Linked DNA regions of Notamacropus eugenii. The protein of the gene in region 1 purifies or fractionates together with the protein of each later gene. This does not show direct contact. Links are inferred from orthologs where the notes say so. Each region holds a gene or a part of one and is shown in the gene's direction. Other genes may lie near its edges.

Evidence for each region.
Region 2: the proteins of CAPN1 (region 1) and CAPNS1 purify together in Homo sapiens (co-immunoprecipitation; 4 studies listed by BioGRID and IntAct, counting the BioPlex papers as one, with this or other methods). This does not show direct contact. The link is inferred for Notamacropus eugenii from reciprocal best matches to the Homo sapiens genes CAPN1 and CAPNS1.
Region 3: the proteins of CAPN1 (region 1) and CAST purify together in Homo sapiens (co-immunoprecipitation; 4 studies listed by BioGRID and IntAct, counting the BioPlex papers as one, with this or other methods). This does not show direct contact. The link is inferred for Notamacropus eugenii from reciprocal best matches to the Homo sapiens genes CAPN1 and CAST.

Annotation. Positions count from the first base shown.
Region 1 is NC_092873.1:17,891,207-17,899,298, forward strand, and holds the start of CAPN1 (calpain-1 catalytic subunit), read left to right. Parts: upstream 1-5,012; 5' UTR 5,013-5,103; intron 5,104-5,414; exon of another isoform or gene 5,415-5,518; intron 5,519-6,150; 5' UTR 6,151-6,262; intron 6,263-7,873; 5' UTR 7,874-7,874; coding exon 7,875-8,092. UniProt on the Homo sapiens protein: Calcium-regulated non-lysosomal thiol-protease which catalyzes limited proteolysis of substrates involved in cytoskeletal remodeling and signal transduction. Proteolytically cleaves CTBP1 at 'Asn-375', 'Gly-387' and 'His-409'.
Region 2 is NC_092876.1:33,187,610-33,195,265, forward strand, and holds the start of CAPNS1 (calpain small subunit 1), read left to right. Parts: upstream 1-4,570; 5' UTR 4,571-4,700; intron 4,701-5,060; 5' UTR 5,061-5,071; coding exon 5,072-5,289; intron 5,290-6,063; exon of another isoform or gene 6,064-6,261; intron 6,262-7,656. Other genes in the region: TBCB (tubulin-folding cofactor B), read left to right, coding at 324-396, 564-684. UniProt on the Homo sapiens protein: Regulatory subunit of the calcium-regulated non-lysosomal thiol-protease which catalyzes limited proteolysis of substrates involved in cytoskeletal remodeling and signal transduction. Essential for embryonic development.
Region 3 is NC_092875.1:442,073,056-442,080,015, reverse strand, and holds the start of CAST (calpastatin), read left to right. Parts: upstream 1-3,934; 5' UTR 3,935-4,570; coding exon 4,571-4,651; intron 4,652-5,196; exon of another isoform or gene 5,197-5,349; coding exon of another isoform or gene 5,350-5,379; intron 5,380-6,960.

The DNA of each region.
Region 1 (8,092 bases):
CATATAACCATTGTCCCCTTGTCCTAGAACTGGTCGCAGCTGACCAGCTCCCCAGTCTTGGACTCCCCTCCATTTGCCTCTTTTGTTCCTGTTCACATGCTGGTGAATGGAGGAAAGCAAGATGCCTCTACTACAAACTTATCTAATGTTAATGGGCCACAGGGCAAACATTCTATTCTTTTCCAATTGATTTACTATCTTCCTCTCCCAGAGGTTCCAAAAATCCCCCCTCTCCTCAGTCCTCCCACCCTTCCCTTCCCTCACCCTTTCAGCTGAGAATCTTGCTTTCTACTTCCCTGATTTGATGGAGACCAATGACTTCACAAGTGCCTTATTTTGACTTGGTCATGAATTGGATTAAGTCATCAGCCTCACTCTCCACCAGAAGTTGTCAAAGTCTAGTGGCAAGACCAAAGTGGCAATGCCCCAGGATGCAATGGGTGACCTTGGCCTTTCTAAATTAAGGTCTTAAAGTTGGGGACAGGTAAGGACAGCTCGCCCTTTCTCTTTTTTATCATACCTTATTCCAACAGTTTTCCTCACTACCTCCTTTACTCTGGTTACCAATAAAGAGGTGCCAGGGCCTCTTATTATATCCCCTCCCAACCTCTCCAGCATATTCATCCCTCTCTCACCCCCAGTTTCTCATTAATCTTCAGTCCTCTCTCTCTACTGGCCCCTTAGCTTCTGCCTTCAAATATGATCACAAATTCTTCACTTGATCCCTACCACCTTCCTTGAGAAAGCTGTCTACACTCACTGCCTTCTCCACTTCCTCTCTCCTCATTCTCTTCTAAATTCTGCAATGACTTCCGACTTCTTTCAACTGAAACTGCCCTCTCCATAGTTACCAAAGATTTCCTCATTGCCCAATCCAATGACTTTTTCTCTATCCTGACTCTTTGCAGCCTCTGACACTCTCAATCACCTATATTGTCTTTCTGACAACTCTTAACTGGATGTCCTGTAGACCTCCTAAACATGACCCATCCCTAACAGCACTCATCATACTTTTGCCTCAAACCCTGCCAGCCTCCCTATTACTATTGAGGGCACTGTCATCCTCCCAGCCCCTGAGAGTCATACTGGACTTTTCACTTGTACTTAACCCATATGTCCCAGTAGCTGCCAAATAGTGATACTTCTACTATTACAACATCTTTCCTATACATCCCTTTCTTTTCACTCTCTCAGTCATCAGCTCCTCATCACCTGCTCTGGGACTATTGATACACCTTATAACCTGGACTCCTGGACCCAAGTCACCCCCGACTCCAGTCCCCTTTGACTCAGCCATCAAAATGATTTTCTCTGGCTTCAAGTCTCAACTCACCTTCTGCCAGAAGCCTTCTCCAACTCCTCTTAATTCTAGTGCCTTTTCTCTTTGAATCATTTTCTGTTTATCCTGTATATATCTCACTTTGCACATGTTTGTCTGCATATCATCTCCCCAATCAGACAGCCCTGTAGGGAAGAAACAACTTTTGCCTTTTTTAGTATCTCTAGTGCTTAGCCACGTTCTGGCCATGTCCATCCCTTCTGGTCAATGAGCTCCAGTAGTTCCCTGTATGTCCAGGATCAATCACCAACCCCTCTGCCTTCAAGTGAAAGCTTTTCACAGATTGGTCCTTTCCTCCCTTTCCAGTCTCCTAGTACCTTCCTCCTTTCCACATACTCTATGATTCAGCAACATGTTCTCTGACTATGATGCTCCATTTCCTGACTGTGTCCCTTTGCAGTGGCTATCTCCCATACTCTGCCCCTCTCATTTCTTTGTCTTAGCTTCACTGGCTTCCTTCAGACAGTGTACATCCTACCTTCTGAGGAAGATCTTTCTTGGTTTCCATAGTGCCTTGCCCCCAGAACACCTTTCTTCTACTCTGTGTATTTATCATGGATATACCTAGTTATTTACATTAGAATATAATCTCCAGGAGGACCAGCTTGACTTTTGCCTTTATTTGAACCCCCAGGCTTAGCACCATTGCCCAGTACATAGCAGGTACTTAATCATTGCTTGTTGACTCACTAATGGCTCAATGTCAGCTTGGATGGAGGTATGTAGCATCTTGGACTTTTCAAGCTGAAGTCCCAGAGGCAACTCAAATTCAGCATATCCAAAACAAAGCCCATTGTCTCTCTCCCTTCCTCAAACCCTCCCCTCTTCCAGACTTACCTATTATTGTCTCAGGTACCACCATCCTCCCAGTCACTAGATTCACCGCTTTAGGAATATCCTCCACTCCTCCCTCTCCTTCTCTCACGCCCACCACATAATGGCCAGATGTTGGTGCTTCTCTCTCTGGTATATATGTAATGGTTAGACAGTTGGATCTGTCTGTTGATCTGTGACATATGTATTGCTTATGGTCAGACAGTTGGAAGCCCTGTCTGTTGGTCTTTATATTTCTCAGCTTGTATTTTCTCTGTTGGTATATATGATTAAAGAAGATCATTGAGCCCTCAAAGATTGCTTTTAGAAAAGCTGATCTAAGAACCTGTGCTAGCAGGCCATCCTGGAGGTGTCAGGGTGCTGGCTGTTACAATAAGTAAGATTTGAATTCAGGAAAAGGAGTCTTTCCGATGCAATGCCTAGCTCTCTCTATCCTAGCTGCCCTGTTAGTATAGGGTTGGATATGGCAATCACAAACGGCTCCAGATTCTCTGCCAAGAAAACCCCAACTGGAGTCATGAAGAATTGAACATGACTGAAAGGACTGAACTACAAGCAGCACATTAGTACATTCCCTCCACCAAGGCAAGTCTTGGAGAGCTGCTTAGAGATTGGAAGTCACTGGCCCAGGGTCACACAGTCATTAGTACCAGAAGTGGGATATAAACCCCAGGTTTTTCTGACTCCAAGGCCAGCTCTCTATCTATAAGATGTTGCCTCTGAGTAATAATTAGCACTTCAGTGGTGCTTTAATGATTACAAATGCTTTATGTAGGCTCCCTCATTTGATCAGTAATCAAGCAATAAAGATTTATTAAGCACCTACTATGTGCCAGGCACTGTGCTAAGTTCTGGTGGTACAAAAAGAGGCAAAAGACAGTGCCTGCCCTCAAGGAGTTTACAATCTAGTGGGGGAGCCAATATGCAAATGAATATATGCAAAATAATGCAAACCATATGCAAATAGAAAAGACTTTGTGATCCTTACAACCACCCTGTGAGGCCGCTGCTATTATTATGCCCATTTTACTAAGGAGAGATCTGAGATATAGAGAGGTCATCCAGTTAGAAAATGCTCAAGCAGGATTTGAACTCAAGCTGCCCAGAATCTGAGTTCCAGTTCTAGGCATCAGTTAGACTAGTTGGTATCTGCTGTTAACCTGAAAACTTGGTTAGAGAAAAGGCAACAGGCTAAATGCATACATTTTATGATTTAATTAATTAATCAATTCCCCATAAAGATAATGGTTATATAGTGTTATGGAGCCAGGATCAGAACTGGCTCCCTCAGTACAGAAGTTGACTGTCTTAAGTACCTTTTACCATGAGAAAGCAGCTCTCTTAGATAAACACATTGTAAATTTGGTAAGACAATTAACAAAATAGTGTCAATTGGGTTTTATGATCCCAAGTGTGGGAATCTCCTTTCTGTAGCATGTCTCTGTGACTTAAGATAAGGAGAAAGTCTCACCACTGTGATGACAGATATCCAGGCCTTTGAAGTTGTGGTATCTTAACAGAGCTGACAAAGCTGAAGTTACAACCCAAGATATCTGGGTTTTTCCTTATCGCTAAGATGCCAGAAGAAGGGTCTGGTAAGGGAAGTCCCATTTGTTTGCCTGACATCAAAAGGTGTCCTCTAAGTTAAACAAAGGAGACTATTAGGTCCAGGCTCTTCTTAATTCAAACTTTGGCCCTTATTAAAGTCCAAAATTTATATTAAATATTATCACTGCTAACCTCTTCTAGCTCTAAGATTTGGTGGTGGTACAGGGTGGCAATGAAACAAGCATTTATTTAGCAACTACTGTGAATCAAGCAAGCAATTATTAAGTGCCCACTTAAGGTTCTTGACAAGGATGGATTTGGGGGAAGGGATAAATCAGAGGGAGGTTTGTTAAGAAGCTCCTGTATTAACCCAGGCCTAACTCGGGAAGCTTTGGAGAGGCCTGAGATGTTTTGATGATTGCTTTGATTTTCATAGCACCTTAAGGATTACAAGGAAGGGGTATTCGTACCTGACAGAAGCAAGCACTGATTAAATGCCTGCAAGGTGCCAAGCACTTTACAAGTACTATCTGATTTGAGTGTCACTGCAGCTGTGGGAAATAGGGGCTGTAATCTCTATTTTTTTCAGTTGAGGAAACAGACAAACAAATAAAGTGACTTGCACTCTATCGACTGCTCTGTTTAGTAAGTGCTTGATAAATGCTTTTCATCATTCATTTGCAGTACTAGGTGTCACAGCAGGTTACACTTCTGATGGGGCCAACTGAAAGGCCCAGTTTGGGGGGACAGGGAATAGAGCTGGCCCGTGGGGACCTGCTCTCCAGCACTGTGCTCAAGGTGGCTAACCCTAGAGTTTGAGATGCTTTGTTTATAAATCATCTGATGTTAATCTTCTAGATTATGAAACTCTCCAGCATATTTTTGTGGTTGAGTCATTTCCATTGCGTTCGACTCTCCATGATTCCATTTGGGGTTTTCTTGGCAAAGATACTGGAGTGGTTCGCCATTTCCTTTTCCAGCTCATTTTACAGATGAGGAAACTGAGGCAAAGAGGGTGAAGTGACTTGCCCAGGGTCACACAGCTAGTAAGTGTCTGAGGTCATATTTGAATTCAGCAAGATGAGTCTTCCTGACTCTAGGCCTGGCTCTCTATACACTTAAGAAAGTGCTGTTGGCATACAGTAGGTGCTCAGAATGTAAACTCTTGTTTTTCACTTTGTCTTTGTTTCCCTATTTAACTCTGCTTTGTCTTGTACATGGTAGTAGTTACTTTATAAAAATGTCTGTTGGAATGGACCTTGATCTTAAAATTTTGTATATATCTACATAGTAGATCCTAGGTCTAGTGCTGGAACGGTCATCAGGGGTCCTCCAGTCCAGTGCTGGAATTTTACAGATGGAGAAACTGAGGCCCAGAGAGGGTAAGTGTCTCAGGATCACGCATAGAACCTTAGATGGACCTCAGAGACCCTCTAGACCAACGCCCCCATTTCCCACACGGCTTCCTGTAGTAAAGTGGGAGCTGCTGGAGGGCAGGACCTGATTGCTTCTGAAAGCAACCCCCCACGATCGCCCCGATGCGAAAGGGGGGAGGTGGAGCGGAGCTGTCCAGTCTTCCGACTGTCCTGCAGAGGGGGCGCGCAGCCTGCGGAGGCGTCCAAGGCCAGGGCACTGCAGCGCAGGGAAGGGGAAGGGGGAGGGGGAGCCGTCCCAAACAGGGGCGGGAGGGGGCCGCCTCGAAGGGGAGGTAACCACACTTCGAGCACCTCCCCCCTCTCCCCGCCCCGGGAGCGTCTGCTGCTGCCCTTGTCTCTGCAGCCGCGGTTAGAGCCCAAGGTAATGTAATCTCAGCCCTGCTCCGCTGGGCCGGCGTGGGCAGCCGGATCAGCTATGGGGAACCTGGGGGCATCCGAACCTGGCTAAGGGAGGGGCGGGAAGGCGGGATATGGAGGGACAAGGAATTAGGGAGCCCTTATCTTGGCATGGTGGGGGTGGGGAGGGGGCGTCCAAGCCTGGCCAAGGGAGGGACGAGAGGGATGAAATGGGGAACCCTCATCTGGACAGAGTTGGGTGGGGGGGCTGCAGCAGCAGGGCGGCGCCTGCCCAGCCCTGTAACCCGAGCTGCTCGCTGGTTAAAAATACCGCACCCCGCTTCCCGCTCCCTGGTCAGCTGGCAATACCCTTCAGCCCCAAGTCCTGCCTCTGCCCCAGCGGCTCAGCCTATTCCCCTTTCCCCAGTCCCAACCTTGTCTTCTCCCTCTGCTGGCCCCAAGCCCCAGCCTGGGGAGGGCCCCCAAGAGACTGCGTCTGGTGCCTGACCTCAGCACCAGCCGTCAGAGAAAACCCGAGTCAGCTGGGGAGGAGGCAGTGGGAGGAGAGAGGCAGTGGGAGGGGACCAGTAAGGCTCCGAGGCTTTGGGGTAGGCGGGCAGGGCGGGGACCAGATTCTTCCTTGTTGGGCCCTACCAGTGAACAAACCGAGCCGGAGCTGAGACCCTTCCGGAGTGGCCAGGGAAGGCAGCCCCGACGGACCGAAGGACGGACGGACGGATTGACGGGCACCGATCAGACCCAGGCCGAGGTAAGAGGGCTTCAGGCTTCCCTGAGCCACCCGAATTCAGGCACAGGGGTTGGGATCGAGTTTTCGAGACAGGTGTCCCAGGTCACCCTCTGGGACTTCGGATTGGCTTTGGGACCCAGGCATCCCCATCTTCTCAGTTGGGGGGGGGGGTGGTGGAGTCAGTGCAGCCAGTTAGAGTTTCCCCTCCTTTGGTGGGGCTCTCTGAGCAGAGGGAAGAGCTTGGGTGTGGTCCAGATTCCAGTCCTGGGAACCTGGAGTCCTCTGATGCCCGGCCTTAAGGCCAGGTCTCAGGCCAGAGTGCTGTAGACCAGCTGCAAAGGGAAAAGGGACAATGTTGTCTGCAGGCAGCTCGCTGGATTGGGGGTGATGAGGAAGTGGAAGTAGGGCCTCCAGAGAAGCTTTCATCTGTCCCCCACTCCCACTATTCCAATCTTGTCTAATATCCCATTCCACCCAGCCCATCAGGTCACTATTAGAAGCCTGAGACTCGGTTCTAAGAGAAGGGGAGGAAAAAAAATCCCACATAATATGGGAGATGGCACAGAGTTAAATTTGAAGTCAGAAGATCTGGGTTCAAATTCTACCCCTGCTCTATAATTATGTCTTGTGTGACACTGGGCAAGTGCTTTCCTTCTCTGGGTCTCCCTCTTGATGCTCTTGTCTGACTGGGGGGTGGGGCGGGGTACGACCTCTGGATAAGGGAGGGGACTTGAGGTTGGGGCAGGACACTAAGCTTCAGAAAATAATGGGGAGGGAGGTGACTCAGGGGCCAGACCTTCCCCCCAAGCCCCAGTTCTGAGAAGGGACATAGTTGGGCTTGCTGTTGGGGCTCTAGGCTCTGGGGGAGAGGTGGCTAAAATAGAGTTCAGATGCTGGGGTTTGGAGTGGGAGGGGTTGGATATCTCAAGCATGGGGCTGACACCCAGGAGCCCCAGGCTTGCTGCTTGAAAAGATGGCTGTCCTGAGGGTGGTGGTCTGGGGTGCCAAGCAGGGAGTGGGCAATGGAATAAGAGGAGCTCTGAATTTGGATTAAGAAGACTTGGCTTCTACTCCTTCTCCTTGTGTGACCTCAGCAAAGTCCTTTTTCTTCTGTGGCTCTGTCTCCTGTGAATTACGGTGCTCGGTGCTCGGAGGGGCCGATCTCTCTAATTCTCTCCTAGTCCTCAATCCTCTCATGGGGCTGGAGTGAAGGGAGTGAGGAGTTGGACATCTTGAGATGGGGAGATATGTGAGGGAGGTAGGGTTTGAGGGACAAGGATGACAAAATTCTGGAGCGAATCTTGAAGATGGGGCTGGACAGGTGAGCTGGGAACTAGGATCCCTGGGTTCTGAAAAGGAACTAGGGCTGGGGATGGAAAGCACCTTTGAGTTTTGACTGTTAAGGGTTAAACATCTTGATGATAGGGAGAGGAGGTGAGTTGAGGCCTTCTAGGACCCATGAGTTCTGAGAAGGCAGCCCAGAGATTGGGAGTGGGAGACTGAGGCTGGAGTTCTGAAGGAGTAGTGGGGGTGGGTGGGAGATGGGGTTAGGGGAGGCTCAAAACTCCAGGCTCAAAACTCTGAGAGGGGAGCAGGCCTGGACTCTTGTTCCTCCTTCTCTTGCCTCCCCAGGATGACAGAAGAGATCATCACCCCTGTATACTGTACGGGGGTGTCTGCCCAACTGCAGAAGCAGCGGGCCAAGGAGCTAGGCCTGGGCTGCCATGAGAAAGCCATTAAGTACCAGGGCCAGGACTATGAGCAGCTACGGGCCCAGTGCCTGCGGTCTGGGGTCCTTTTTGAGGATGATACCTTCCCCCCTTCTTCTTATTCCCTGGGCTTCAAGGATCT
Region 2 (7,656 bases), on another chromosome or scaffold:
CTGTTCATAATCGAAGAGAAAGGGGAGATGCTGCCTGGTCAGCTGCATGGACAATTTGTTCGAGTCACAGAGGTGGGTGGTGCAGGGGCTGCAGTGATAAATTGTGATTGAGAACCCCTGGAGATGAATACAGAGGGCAGGGACACAGTCTGGCATCTGTGTGATAGTTGAGAGCTTATTGAGGAGCCAGAGGAGGGGAGGGCAGGAAGTGACAGCCCCAGCTTCTCTGCAGAATGGGTCAGTCCCCCAGGCTAGAGAGACAGGAGCTGCTGTTGTGGCCCTGCCCTTAGCTGGGTCCTGAATGAGCTGCTTCTTGTGGGCAGGACTCACGGATTTCAAGCCTGGCTACTGGGTTGGCATCCGCTATGATGAACCGCTGGGGAAGCATGATGGCAGGTGAGGCGAGACACCCTGGGACTCTCTCTGTGAGTGTGTGTAGGAGAGTGTGTTTGTGTGTGTGAGTGTGGGTGTGTGTTTTTGTTAGTGGGTGTGATTGTGGGTATGAATGTGAGTGAATGTGTCCGGGTAGCCCTGTGACCTCTTTTAGTCTCTGTCATCTGCAGTGTGAACGGCAAACGCTACTTTGAGTGCCAGGACAAGTATGGTGCCTTTGTCAAGCCACACACGGTGACCGTAGGAGACTTCCCAGAGGAGGATTATGGACTGGACGATGATGAGATGTGACCCCCTGGTGGGGGTGGGGGGTTACACACTACTGGGGGGGTTGTCCCCTTGGATGCAGCCTCCCTTTCTCTTCCCCACCCTCCAGCCCGGGCCCCTCCCTCCTGTTTCGTGTCTGTGGTGTATTCTCTCTTGCCTTCCCTATTTTGAGTTGTATTTTTTATCTTATTTTCCCCTTGGCTCTTGTGAGGTTGTGAGACAAGTGAATTAAATGCCTCTGAATCCCTTGGAGGCAGCCTGGGTTCTTGAGGGCTAGGGAGAGGGCATTTCATTGCTGAAGATTGTGGGTGATCAGGGAGGGGAGCTTGGGGTAAGGGGGCCCTGAACAACTGGAGGAGCAGCAGTGAGTCTGACAGGGAGGCTGGCCTTCACTTTCCTCACATCTGGTCAGCCCCGAAGTGGCCTCTGACCTGCTGACTATCTGGGCTTTCAGAACAACTTTTTAGGGGTTTGTTTGGAAGCTATTTTGAAGAGGAGAGAGACTGGAGGCAGGTGGCTCATCTTTAGTGTGGATTTCTTGTTCTTCCATCATCTGCCTCTCCTGAAGGCCTTTCCTACAGCAGAATAAAAATGAAAACAAGTTAACCCATCAGCATCTGCAGCGTTCAACACCCATAATCCCCTAGCTGTGTAGAGAAGGGGGGGAGGTATATGCTCGCATCTCTTCTTTTGGGCCAAACTTGGTATCATTTTATACTGGGGAGATCTTAATAGAAAGCTGCTGAAATACAGCAGCTAGAGGGTGCCATAGTGCTGGGCCTGGAAGACTCTTCTCTCTGAGTTCAAATCCCACCTCAGACACTTAGCTGTGTGAGCCTGGGCAAGTCACTTCACCCTGGTTGCCTCCGTTTCTGATGAAGAGTGGGACCCAACTAAACAACAACAGTTGAGATAGAGGTAGCTCAGTTTGTAGGCAGGAAGTCTTGAGACTCAAGCCCTACCTCTTATACGTTAGGGCTTGGTGACCTTGGGCAGGTCCCATCAGGCCCTTAAAGTGACTAAAGGGTTCTAACTGCCTTACTGGGAGGTCTCCACGATGGTGAGGTGAGTGGTTTTTCTCCCCTCCCACCCCCATGTTAAAATAAAAGGTTTAAAACAGTGCAAGTGAGACCATGCTTTCCTTTTGTCATTCTTATCAGTTTGCTAAAGTTTAAAGGGAAGCCTTGGCATTATTTTGATTGGCATTTTTCTAATTCTTAGTAATTTGGAGCATTCTTTTATATCGTTAGTAATTGACAGTTCTTCTGAGAAATGTCCAGATTGCTTGCCCACATCTCTGTTGGAATTACTTTTGGCCTCTGATGTTTCTGTTAGGTTTTTACATAGTGTGGATATGAAACCCACATCAGAGATAGCAGACGCAGATTTTTTTTTTCTCCATAGTCGACTGCTTTCTCTCTTTGCATTAATTTTGTTCATGCAAAACTTTTTAATTTCAAGTAAGCAAAATTAACTCTTTTGTCATTTCCCTTATCCTTTGGTAAAGACGTTACCTCCTCCAAGTTACATAAAGCTCAAGCATGACTCCAGAACAGTTAAGGATGCTGCCGACGCACCCCTGCCCTTTGTGGAGCTGCGAGGACCACAGCTCTGCGCCCTGATGGTTAAAATATATTCCATGACTGTGCTTTTTCTTTTTTTGCTTTAAAAACCATTTGTTATGTGAGATGCTTGCAGGGAGGAGGAGGAATGCTAAAAGAAAGAGCCCACCCTTTATCCATATCTGTGCAAGGCATGTGATGAGCTTCTAGTTTTTTTAAAATTCTTTTAATCTCACCCTAATCAGTCAACTGGCATTGTTCCTCCTTCATTGCCGAAGACTACCATGTCATCAGAGAAATGATGACCTGACTTGCACTTGACTTTGTTTTGAGTGAGGGAGGGCTGTGCAGGTCACCAGCCTCACTTCTCCAGAGCCATCTGGGTCCAGTGACCGGATATTCATCAGGATGACTGGAGATGGCCCAGGATGCACTGGGAGACCTTGGCCTGACCTGTGCAGGTACTAAGTTAGGGTGAGGTAAAACTAATCAGGGCCTGTTCCCTTTAATGAGGCAAGGAAGAGGAAGACATCAGACTGGGAGGGAAACAGCAACACTTAACGTTGATAATCACTCTGAAGCCCGGAAGGTCCAGAAGAGAGCCTTTAGGCAGGGGCAGGAGCCCCATGGTGTCTGAGTTACGGAGTGCAGTAGGCTCAAGGTTCTAGGCTCAAGGTTCTGAGAAGGGTAGGGAAGGGAGGCTAGCCAGTAAGTAAAACCCAAGTCACCTGGGCATCTTTTGGCTATCCAAATTTACCTTCCTTTGGAGAAGAGAAGAAAGGGGGGAGGGGAAGGCAGACAGGAGAGGAGGGGTTGAGTTACCCAGCTAGCTGGGTCCCCATTCAGCCAGCTGGGTCTGCTCATAGGATTGTGTCTGTGCTTCGTTGCTGAAGCAGACCATGCCATCAGAGAAATGGTGATGTGACTTGCACTTATCTTTGTTCTGAGCGAGGAAGGGCTGTGCAGATCACCAGCCTCACTTCTCCAGAGCCATCATCTGTGGCATAGTGGAGATGGGATGTTCAGGAGTCGTCAAGACCTGTGTTCCAGAGCTCTCCAGCCTCTCGGTGCCTCTAGGCACTAAATTGCAAAGGGTTCGCTGGAGAACTAGTGGTGGGAATGCTTTCATCTGGGAGCTCCCTACTTCAAGGAAATGGCAGGTCTAGCTCCACTCCTTTGGGCGTTTACATTCCGGTCACATGTTCATTTTGAATTTATTGTGGAGTATGGTCTGTCATGTTGGTCTAAACCTCATTTCTGCCAGACTTCAGTTTTCCCACTAGTTTTTAAGAGAGTCTTTTCCGAGGTTACGCTTTCAGACGTCGATGGACTTCGCAGCATTGTAGATGGCTCAGGCTTTATCAGTCTCTGCTAAGAGCCAGGCTTTGTCCTGGGACGATACCGGGGAAACCCAAGGATCCTGTTTGTCAGCCTTGGCAGCGGGGCTTGGAATGTAGCAGACGCTTCACAAATGCTTGTTGCCGTTCCATTGCGAACGATCGATCCCTCCGCACAAGTCTACGTTCTGATGGGGGACAAGGGGAAAGGCATGGGTCCTGAGTGAGGCACCTCAGGGGGTGGCCGGACCTCGGGGGGCACAAGCGTCCAGAGAGGATGGACAGGGAGGTGGGGGCCGGGGGATCCAGGGCTTCGGAGGTGAAACCAGCCTTGGACGTGGCCCAGGGGCAGCGGGGAGCCCGGGGCTGTGGACCGCGGTGGTCTCACGCAATGGGACGGGCAGGACTGGAGGAGTCGTGAGGAGAGCGGGGCGAGCCCGGAGTAGGGAGGCCCCTGCTCCCATTGCCCCCTTCAGGAGGGGGCATTACCGTCATCACTGGCCTCCGACCAGGACACGGCCCCGGGGGGGGGGGTCCCCACTTCCGCGTCTCGGGCCGGTCCCGGGGACTGAGGAATGAACCAGGCCCCGACTTCCGGGGGCGGGGACAGAACGGGGACCGAGGAATCACCCACGCCCCGAGGGGGGCCGTTTCCTCTGCCCTCCTCCCTCAGCTAGACTGGGCCGGTCCAGCGGCTATGCCCTCCCCCGGCCGCACCTCCGGGGACCCAGGAGTCCCCCACCCCCTCGCGTGTTCCGCCCCGCGTGGGGCCCGAGAGCGTTTTCCGAGTCACTGGCTGGGGGGAGGCGGGGATGGGACTCTTAAAGGCGCAGGCACGCCCTCGCCCCGCGTCTCTCCGGGACCCCGCAGGGCGGGAGGGCTGGGCCCGGTTCCAGGGAGCAGCTGGTGGGCGGGGCGCCCGGGTCCCGTTATGCAGCGGGAAGGGGAGGGGCGGCACCGGACAGTCTGCGAGACGGGCTTTAGGACCACGCGGACGCCCGGGGAAGGCACATCGCCTCGGGCGGGGCCACCCCTGAGTCACCCCGGCCCCGCCCGACCGTCCTGTAGCCGGACCGAGAGGAGTCGAGCAAGGAGGGTAGGAGGCCAGACCGCGGCTGGGGAAACTGAGGCCGAGATCAGGGTGAGAGCGCCCCCCGCCCCAAGTCCGGGCTCCCCAACCCCGCTCGAGTCTCCCCCAGCCTGGCCTTGAGTCCCCCTGAACCCCGGCTTCAGTGCCCCCTCCCCTCGTGCTTCCTGACCCCCCTACTTGGGCACGAGCAAGAGACCCTAAGGATCCCCCACACCCGCGGAGCACCCTAACAACCCAGGACCCCTAGCCTTGACTCCCGGAAGCCAGCCCCGGCCTCCCCTGAATCTCAGTATCCCCAAACCGTGCCCCAGTACCCACCCTCCTCGGGACCATCAGGAGCGGGGCCCCCGACTCCCCCTGACCCCCCGCCCCATAGCTGACCGCGGCCGGCGTCCTGACTCTGGCCCCCAGGTCCCGGAGACATGTTCCTGGTTAATTCATTCCTGGGCGGGAAGGGCGGCGGCGGCGGGGGCGCAGGCAGAGCTCTCGGGGGGCTGCTCAGCGGCGGCGGCGGCGGTGCTGGAGGCATCGGCAATGTCATCGGGGGGCTACTTAGCGGAGGCGGTGGCGGCGGCGGTGGCGGCGGCGGAGGAGCTGGGGGTGCCATGGGGTTCCTAGGCGGTGTCATCAGCGCCATCAGGTGAGCGGGGGCTGGGGGAGCTCAGCCTGGGGGGCCCTGGAACACTGGGGGCCTCGGACATGGGGAGGTCCTGGGATGTGGGGAGCCCTGAGACACGGTGGGGCTGGGATATGAGGAGCCCGAGACATGAGGGGACCTGCGATACGGGGACCCTCAAACATGGGGAACCCCGGGACATGTAGTGGGGTCCACTGTTCCGTGAGAGGTCTGGAGACTGGGCCGGAGCGCGGTGGTGAATAAGCATGAGCCATCTTAGCCAGCGGCAGTAGAGTCATGGCAGGTATGTGGCAGAGGAGGGGTCGCCCCACCTGGCTCCGTATACCTTGTGAGGATCCCCGGGTTTGTGGGCTCCAGTCACAGCCCAGCTCAGCAGAGCCACGACCTCCCATTAATGAGGGGGGGGTGGGACTCCATGGTCTTAATGTTGAAAAGAACCTGACACTTATCGGTGTGTTGGGATCTCTGGAAGGGGCCTCACTAGCCCACTTCTTCATCACTCATTTTACAGTTGAGGAAACTGAGGGCTCACAGAGTCACACTGCATCAATCAGAGGGAACCCAGGATCGCGCAGTGTCGCAGGAGGTGGGGACGGGGCATGGACAGGACTCGGGGCTGGTGGACTAAATCACCCCTCCTGCGGGGAGCCTGGAAAGATACACAGCTTAGATAAAATGGGAACTCAGCTAGAGTCTGGTAGGAGCCTGAGACACCGAGGGTCAGCCCGACACATTCCAGGGGGTCTTGTGGGGTCTAAAGAGCATTCTCTCTTTGGGAAGCAGCTTGGTTCAGAGGAACAGGGTTCCCGCTCTGCCTCTGAAATTTCATTTGTGTGATTTGCGGCGTCTTGTCTCTTCTCCAGGCCTTAATTTCCTTTTCTGTAAAAGGGGCCCGGACTAGGTGATCTCCTAGGCCCATTCCAGCCACATATCTATGGTTCTGTAATTGGAGACTCCGAACTTGCATAACAGAGGGTGGGTAGGGGCTGAGCAGCTGGGGCTGGGGGCGGTCCCCAGATGGGGTCAGAGCTCAGGAGTCCAGGAGGGGGAGGGGGCAAAAAACAGTCATGGCTGGAGAATAGAGCTGGTGGAAAGGAGTCTTGAGTCAAGTCTGGGAAGGTGAGGATTTGGAGGCAGCTGGGAGCTGATGATGGTTTTTGAGCCTGGGGAGTAAATCCAGGAAGCATCTTGCCCTGTCCCCATTCGGTTTTATCCGTTTCCTTTTGGGCAGTCCCTACTGAACCGGGTCTGCCTGGGGCAGAAGACTTGGGGGGAGGACCAGGGGGTACCATCTGTACCTGAAAAGGTACTCTGTACCTTCCCAAGGCTGTAGTCCCCAGGGCAGAGCAAGTCAGAGTGGTCATTTAGGGAGGAGCCAGGGAGAAGAAGGGGGTCTTGGGGGTCAGCTGCTAGTGGGCAGTAGGGATGGAGGACAGAAATGCAGCCGGGGAGATACCGAGTCAAAAGGCAGAGAATGCTGGGTTACCCTATCTGGGTGAACACTAGTCCAAGGGAAGGGCTTTCTAAGACTGGGAAGACAGGATACTGGTGATGGAGCAAGCTCTCCCCTGGGTTTCAGAGAATCCTGGTCCTCCTCTTGGGTCTGCCCAGCCGTCTCTTTGCATCCTTTGGTCCCTGTTGCAATTTTGGATGAGGGCAGGCTTTATCTAAACCCAGCAGGAAAATGTGACTTGTTGGGGACAGGGGCTATTTCTTTCCATATTGATATGTTTTGCCCAGAATAGATGTTTAATTGAATGCCCAGATGTATGGGTAAGAGATACTTCTGTCCACAGTGGAAGTGGGTGGGTGGAGGAAGAGGAGAGACACACTGTCTGGGGATAATTTTGAGCTTTGAGCTGTAGATTAAAAGAAGGATGATAAGTAGCCCTGGCCCTAAGAGGGGGTTCAGAACCGGGAGCCATTTTAGGGGAAAGGAAAAGCTTGATTTGGGATTTATTGAGATGGAAGGAAGAAATAGAAGAAAAACATTTATTAAATGTTATCTGAGTGCCAAGCACTGTGCCAGGCCCTGCCCCCACTCAACTGTAAGTCACAGGGGGCCTTAGGTGTACTTGTAAGTCAGATGTTGGAGGTGGATCTGGACATGACCCAGGAGGACCAAGGAGGTCACGGGGGTCTGCGGGGTAAGGGAGGAGTAAGCGTGGTATCAAAGGACCAGCAGACCACCTTGGGGGATGGTTAGAGGACCTGCCTGGGAGGCAGGAGGATCCAAGTGTTCAAATACTGCCTCTGATCTTTTCTCACCAAGCTCACCTAAGGCAGGCCACAGGCCACAGGCCACGGAAGCGCTAAGACAGTCACTTATATTGGTGGAAGAGATTTTCCCCACCAGTGAGAAAGTTCCCT
Region 3 (6,960 bases), on another chromosome or scaffold:
GTAAGCACCTGCTAAATAAGCGCCATGTCATTAACTTAAACTATTTAGGTCTAGCTATTCAATCAGCTCTGGATCCATCTAGCCCACATATCTCAATCACTTGCACAAGAATTGCATGAGGCACTTTATCAAATGCTTGGGTATAATCTAGGTAAAATGTATCTACCACATTTCCCTTTAACTACCAGGTGAGTAGACCTGTCACTAAAGGAAATAATGTTAGTGTTGCCTAACTTATTTGTAACAAAGGCATGCCAACTCTTTGTGATTACCAATGGGAATAACCATAGCACCTTATCTCCCAGGGTTGTTGTGAAGATCAAGTGAAAAGACATTTGTGAAAAATTTAGCACACTACCCGGCACTTAGTAAACACTATTATATTTTATATAATTTCACCAGAAATTGAAGTCAAGCTCACTGGCTTTGGAGGCTTCTAGTCTCTTCCATTAAAATTAAATTCAATTAAAAAAGTAAAATTGGGACATTTGCCCTTCTTCAATCCTGTGGTACCTCTCCCACTGTCCATGATGCTTTAAATATCAATGACAACGGTTCCACAGTCATATACCACCAATATTAGAAGTACCTAAATATATATACAGTAGTTCTTCTTTGCCAAGTGACTTGAATATATCAAGAGAAGCTAGGTGATTTCCCTACCATCTCCATATTTATCTTGGGTAGTTACTCTCTACTACCTCTTGTGCTCTACCCTTTACAATCCAAAGACGATTTCTCTTGGCCAGAAAAACAAAATAAAAATGGAAGAGCTCTGCACGAAACTGTGCTGACTGGGCCCATTACACATTTATATTATCAAATCTGGAGTTTACACTTCAGCAAGGAAAACATGTAACTCTTTCCTAACTCATGTTTCCTCATCTTCATGATTGTCCTCCCCTGAGTACATTCCAATTTTACTCAGTTCTTCTAAAAGTGGCTCCCAGAGATGAATAAAGTGCTTTAGATGTGGTTTGACCAGGGCAGAATGTAGCAAGATTATCCCTTTCCTTGTTTTGGATAGTGTGTGTGTGTGTGTGTGTGTGTGTGCGCATATGTGTGCATGCACACATATACACATGTATATATATATGTATATGTATATATATAAACATACACATACATACATTGTAGATAGCCAAATTATAAGATAGGAGCATCACTAAGAGAACTTAGAAAATATCACACATGAATATATTCTAGAACATCTGCTCTATTGAGTCCTTGCTGCTCCATCATGTCCACAGACCTCACTGAGTTCCTTCTCCTTGTTATTTCTATGCATTCTTTGTAATATGCAGAATATTACAACTGGTCCCCTCAAAGCAATAAACTAGCAGTCTTCTTTATGTCTGCTTTTCTTTAATATCTGTCAGATATTACGGAGTCAGCTTTAGAGCTAGAAAGAACTTTAGAGATCATCTAAAGATCATTTCACTCATTTTACAGGTGAGGAAACTGAGGCCCCAGGAAATTAAATAACTCACCTAAGGTATACAGACATCAGTGACAGAGCAGGCCAGATTTGAACCCAATTTTAGTGTTTTTTTTCTATTGCACTATTCTGCATTTTGAGAGTATGTTGTGCAGTTCTACCTGCTCTGTCTTCTACCTTTGTGCCTCATTGTTGTTTCTTTCCCCTAAGGGACATGCCTCCTACTCCTATGTCCCCTTGCCCGTTGAATTTGGTTAGTTCATAAATGTGTATGAACTCATGCAAATACACACACACACACACACACACACACACAATTTGTCTTATATTTGTCATAAGAAGGGGAATACATTTTGTAATCCCCTTTATCATCATTTATTGGCTACTATGAAAAGGTCTTAGCCTAAAAGGCCAAGGTCTCCCATTGCATCCTGGGCCATCTTTGGTCATCCTGATGAATATCTGGTCACTGGATCCAGATGGCTCAGGAGGAGAAAGTGAGGCTGGTGACCTTGCACAAGCCTCCCTCACTCAAAACAAAGTCAAGTGCAAGTCATCATTTTTCTGATATCATGGTCCTCTTCAAAAATGAAGGATGAACACAACCTGTGAGTAGGCCGAGCTGCCTAAAACGGGGACCCAGCTATCTGGGTAACCCCTTTCCTTCCCTTCCTTTACCTTCCTTCTTGTCTCCCCTAAAGCCTTGGACCTTATGTACTCTGAAGCCCATGGATTTAACAGTGAAGGGTCCCTGCCCAACCTCCACTCAATGGCTGACTTAGAGTGCAAGTCAATAGTAACAGTTTCTCTTCAAAACAACCACCCTGAGACTCCTGCCCCTCCCAGAGTGATTTATCTATTTATTTTCTTATTTCTATTAAAGGGGCCATCCTCCTGGCTACTTTTTAAAGACACCTATTCACTGAATGGGCATTACCTCACTTTAAGTGAGTACCTGGAAAGGCCTTAGCCTAAAAGACCAAGGTCTCCCATTGCATCCTGGGCCGTCTCCAGTCATCCAGATGGCTCAGGAGGAGAAAATGAGGCTGGTGACCTTGCATAGCCCTCCATCACTCAAAACAAAGTCAAGTGCAAGTCATCATCTGTCCGATGTCATGGTCCTCTTTGAAAACAAAGGATAAACAACTAACCAAGCTCTCTCACTCTCCACAGCAGTTGTTCCAAACCTTGTCTCTCCTTAAGCCTATGAACATGATCCTTCCCACCACCCTTTCAGTCAAGGACCTCACACCTCAAACTTTGAGATTCCCCCAAGCTGACATCATTTCAGCAGAGCTGTTCCTTCTCCTATCTTCCTCGTTTCATTACTCAGGCATCTTCCTCTACTATCCTTTCCTTCACTCTGGTTTCAGATCAAGAGATGGCCCCTTAAATTTCCCAAGACAAATCCTTCCACATGTATCCTTGCTCCTTTTCCCAACTTTTCCAACGAACAGCCCCTATCATCCCCATTCTCTCCAATCTTCAATCTTTCCCAATTTACTGACTCCCTGATAACTAAATATATGTGCCTATGTTTCTCTTATCCTTAAAACCCCTTCACTTGATCTGACCATCTCCTCTAGCCATCATGCTATATGTCTTCCTCACTTCATCTCTCAGATCCTTGAAAGAGCTATCTGTAACTAGTCTCTCCCTTTCCTCTCCTCTGACTCTCTTTTAAGCCCTCTGCAACCTAGCTTCCAACCTCAATTCAAACTGCTCCTTCCAAAATTACCACTGATTTCTTACTTGCCATATCTAATGGTCTCATCTCAAGTCCATTCATCTTAACCTCTCTGCACCATTTGACAAATCTTACTTCTCAGACATTATCTTCTTGATCAGCTGTTGGTTTCCTATATCAGTTTTCACTCTTTAGATTCTGACTTTTCAGAATCAATCCCAGCAATCTTGTCCCTCCATTTCAAAGATGAGATGCACACACGACTACCTATGGCTTTTAGGGGATGCTAACTTTAAGGGTAGTGAATGAGATGCTTTTTGATGAAATATCCTGCTTTAATTTCTCACAGAGAATACTAATCCATATCTGCACGCTAGAATGAAGGATCCAAGGGATTTTCTGAATCGCTAAAATAAAAGAAGCCAGAACTCAGTTCAGTCCAACTTCAACATGAAAGCAGGCTTCACTTTTATCTTCCCTCCCACAGACCACAATATAGAAGAGGAAGGGGAAACTCTGATTTTGAAAACAAATAAATCACAAAAATCCTCAGGTTTGCCTAGCAGGTCTGAACATGAAACAGTGCCCACCTCGGGCTGGTATATCTCCAAAAGAGACTTTTCTTGCTGTTCCTGTTATTTTCACTTTCAACCCCCAAACCAGGAAGTAAGTGTTGTTTAAAACCATCGAAATAAGCCAAGCAATCAAATCAGAACCAACCAAGATTAGGTTTGAGGCTGAAGTTTAAGACCCCTTCTTAATGGACTGGAACCAGCTCCCTTTTTTCCCATCGAAAGTCATCGCAATTTGCTTAGTTCTTGATCCATCGATTTGCCCAAACTTCCCAAAGACGGAGGAGGAGGGAGGGATCCACACAGTCCGATTTGCTTTTGTGTTGTTTTAACTCTTCAATCAGAGTTCCAACCCGTCATCAGAGTCCAAATGACAACTCTTTCCAGAAGGCCAAGCCAAGGTGGAATCCTAGAAAAGGTGCTAATTCTTGGAATGCCTAAGGAAGACCAGAGAATAGGAGGGCCACGCCCCGGTCCCGCTCCCTGCACAGTTACGAGATCGGTCCAGGCAAGTTGAAGAAAGAAACCCTAAGAGGCCGGCCTCCAGCCCTGCTGCCCCTCCTCTCCAAAAGTACAAAGAGCACTGGGCAGAAGAGGTTTGGGGGAGGGAGACAATTGGGTGAAGGCAGAAGAAGGGAGTGGATCAGCAGCATCGGACACCCTAGAAAGGACAGTGGCGGGGGTAGCTGCAGAAACTAGCGGGTGCAGGAAGGGGAGGGACTTGCTGGGGGTGAGGCCCCAGATTTGGCTCCAGGGCTCGATCGGAAAAGCTGCTTCACTGTTGCTTGTACTGCCCCTTTCCTCCCTTCTCTCTCTCCCCCTTCCTGCCCTCCAGTCACCGCTGCACCCTCTCTGAGATCTGCAGCTGTCACCATGTCTCAGCCGGGGAAAGGCAAGAGGCCCGCAGCCTCCCCCCGGCCCAAGCGGGCTGCCGCTGCCCGGGCAGCCGAAGGGGTAAGTGGCTTCTTAGACGTCCCACCCAGGAGGGGTGGGCAAGGTGGTAGAGAGTGGGGAGGGGGTCAACCACAGCCCTACAACCTCCGGACTCCTCCCTCGGCTTTGCCCAATCCGGCTTGCGGCCAGGACACCCTCTTGGGCAAAGGGTGGGGGTGCAGGAGGATGGGGACCGGGCGTGGCTCGAGTTGGAAGCAGATTCCTGGGACCCGACGGGACTGCGGGAGCCCGCTGGGCGTGGCGCGTGCCAGCCCAGGGAACTGAGAGGGTGGCTGGCGGAGGAAGCAGCTGAAAGTTAGCCACAGAGAAAAGGGCACCGTGGGCCAGGGGATAAAGGCGAAGTCGGCTTCCCTGGAGATGCCCAGAATGCTGTAACCGAGCCATTTCTGCCCTGTTCCATGCCTGTCACACCGCCCTTCCCCCCCCAAAATCCGAAGCTTCAGGGCGTGGCTGTCCCGGGAACAACACATCCTCCGGTCTCTCCAGTGTGGCCGAATCTGGCTGACGGGGCGGGGCCCACGGTGGACCCCGCCCAGTGCCTTGCCCTCCCACCTGGCAGCTGCTAGAAGAGCCAGGAGTGAAGTGCCAGCTGAAGCCAGGCGCAGGTGAAGACCTTAAGCCGGCGCGCCTTCACGCACACGCAGCTCCTCACTTAAGCCTGTCCTTCGCCCGGTTCAGGGGATTTAGCTGGGCTTGTCATGGCTTTTGCAAGCTGGTGGTACAAGACGGTAAATATGACATGGGGCTTTTGTCTTGGAGGGACAGGAAAGACGGGTGTGTTCACTTTGCTCTCCCAGACCTGTAGGGGAGACATTGACTATTTGGTGATCAGGAAGGGGTGGGGAGAGGATGCCACTGCTTCTCGGGACCTAAGGTTAAGCTTCAGAAAAGACTCACCCACTTGTGGTATTTGTGTGTGTGTATGTGTGTACATCTGGCTTGTGTGGCTGCTGCCTGCCCTCCAGACAGTCTGAATGAACCAGGCTGTAGAAGTGGAAGAATTCCCCCCTACAAACCTGGGAATTCCTGGTTTGAGAGAAGGTGGAGATTCACCTGATCTCAGATACAGGACAATGAAAACAAAACAAAACAAAAAAAACCAACTCTAGGTACTTTTGATTTAAGCGAAGGCGGGCATCCAGAAATCCAGGACCACCTCTTTTTATTTTATTTTACTTTTTAAGCCAGTAAATCAGGAGACCTCCAGGCAGTAGCACAAAATGTGAAATGGTTTGTGTGCAGGAAGGGATTGAAGGTGTTCCATTTCTTTAGTACTTCGTGAATATCTTTCCAGCTAATGAGCAAAATAATCAAGTTGATGCTTGCAAAGTTGTGGAACCAGGAACTGTGATTTAATACCGTATTGTGGGTTTTTTAAAATGTTGGCGCAAATGGGTTAGCTTGATTCAAGTTTTGTTGACAGCTTTGCTTCATGATAGACAGTTCAAAAAACTGGTTATGTGTGTACCTTATGGTTTTTCATGGTGAATACTTCCTATTCCATGTTTGCCAGTATAATATCCTCTTAAATATACTCAGTAGAAATTTGCTTTGGATAAAACTTCTCAATTCTTTTTCTAAGGCTCCGTTTAAAATGTTGAATAAATGATGTATAGCTAAGCATACCATAATTTAGACATGATAAAGCCAAAGTTAATATCATACTTTGCTTTTTGCTGAGTTATGATTTCCCAGGTAAATTATGCTGGAGTAATAAAATGAAACTGACTTAAATTTCTCAAATCTTTTTATTTTTTTTTTTAAGTTTAGTACTCCATCTAATCTCTTTGTAAAACCTATTATTGTATTCAATTTGGGGACTGTTCTGTATATTTTACCCTACTTGGAATATCTCTGAATTAGCTGTAGTAGCTAGAGTACTCTGCTGAAAAACCATTTGTTTCTTCCCCCTTGACACTTATTAGAGATTATTTCAAACACTTTTAGGTGAGTCCTTTCGTAGGAGAACATTGTTTAATAAAGTTCGGGGAAAAAATGTGAGTAGCCCAACTTTACATATCAGAATAAGTAAGATAAACTCATAGAATATGTAATCTAAGGAGTGTTTGTGTGTAGGAAGTGCTAGCTAGAAGAAATCAAGTGAAATTGTTTAAGATAAAATATTGGATCTCAAATTTCTACTAACTATAATGGCTAATATCAACAAAATTAGCAGTATATCAACCTTATATTTTGAAAAACTCTAATTTGGGGGATAGGGGACTGTTGGAAATGCTAACATTAAATTATATTTTCTTTGTAGTGATAATGCATAGACTAGTTTAAATTTAGTTTGTACCTATAATCAT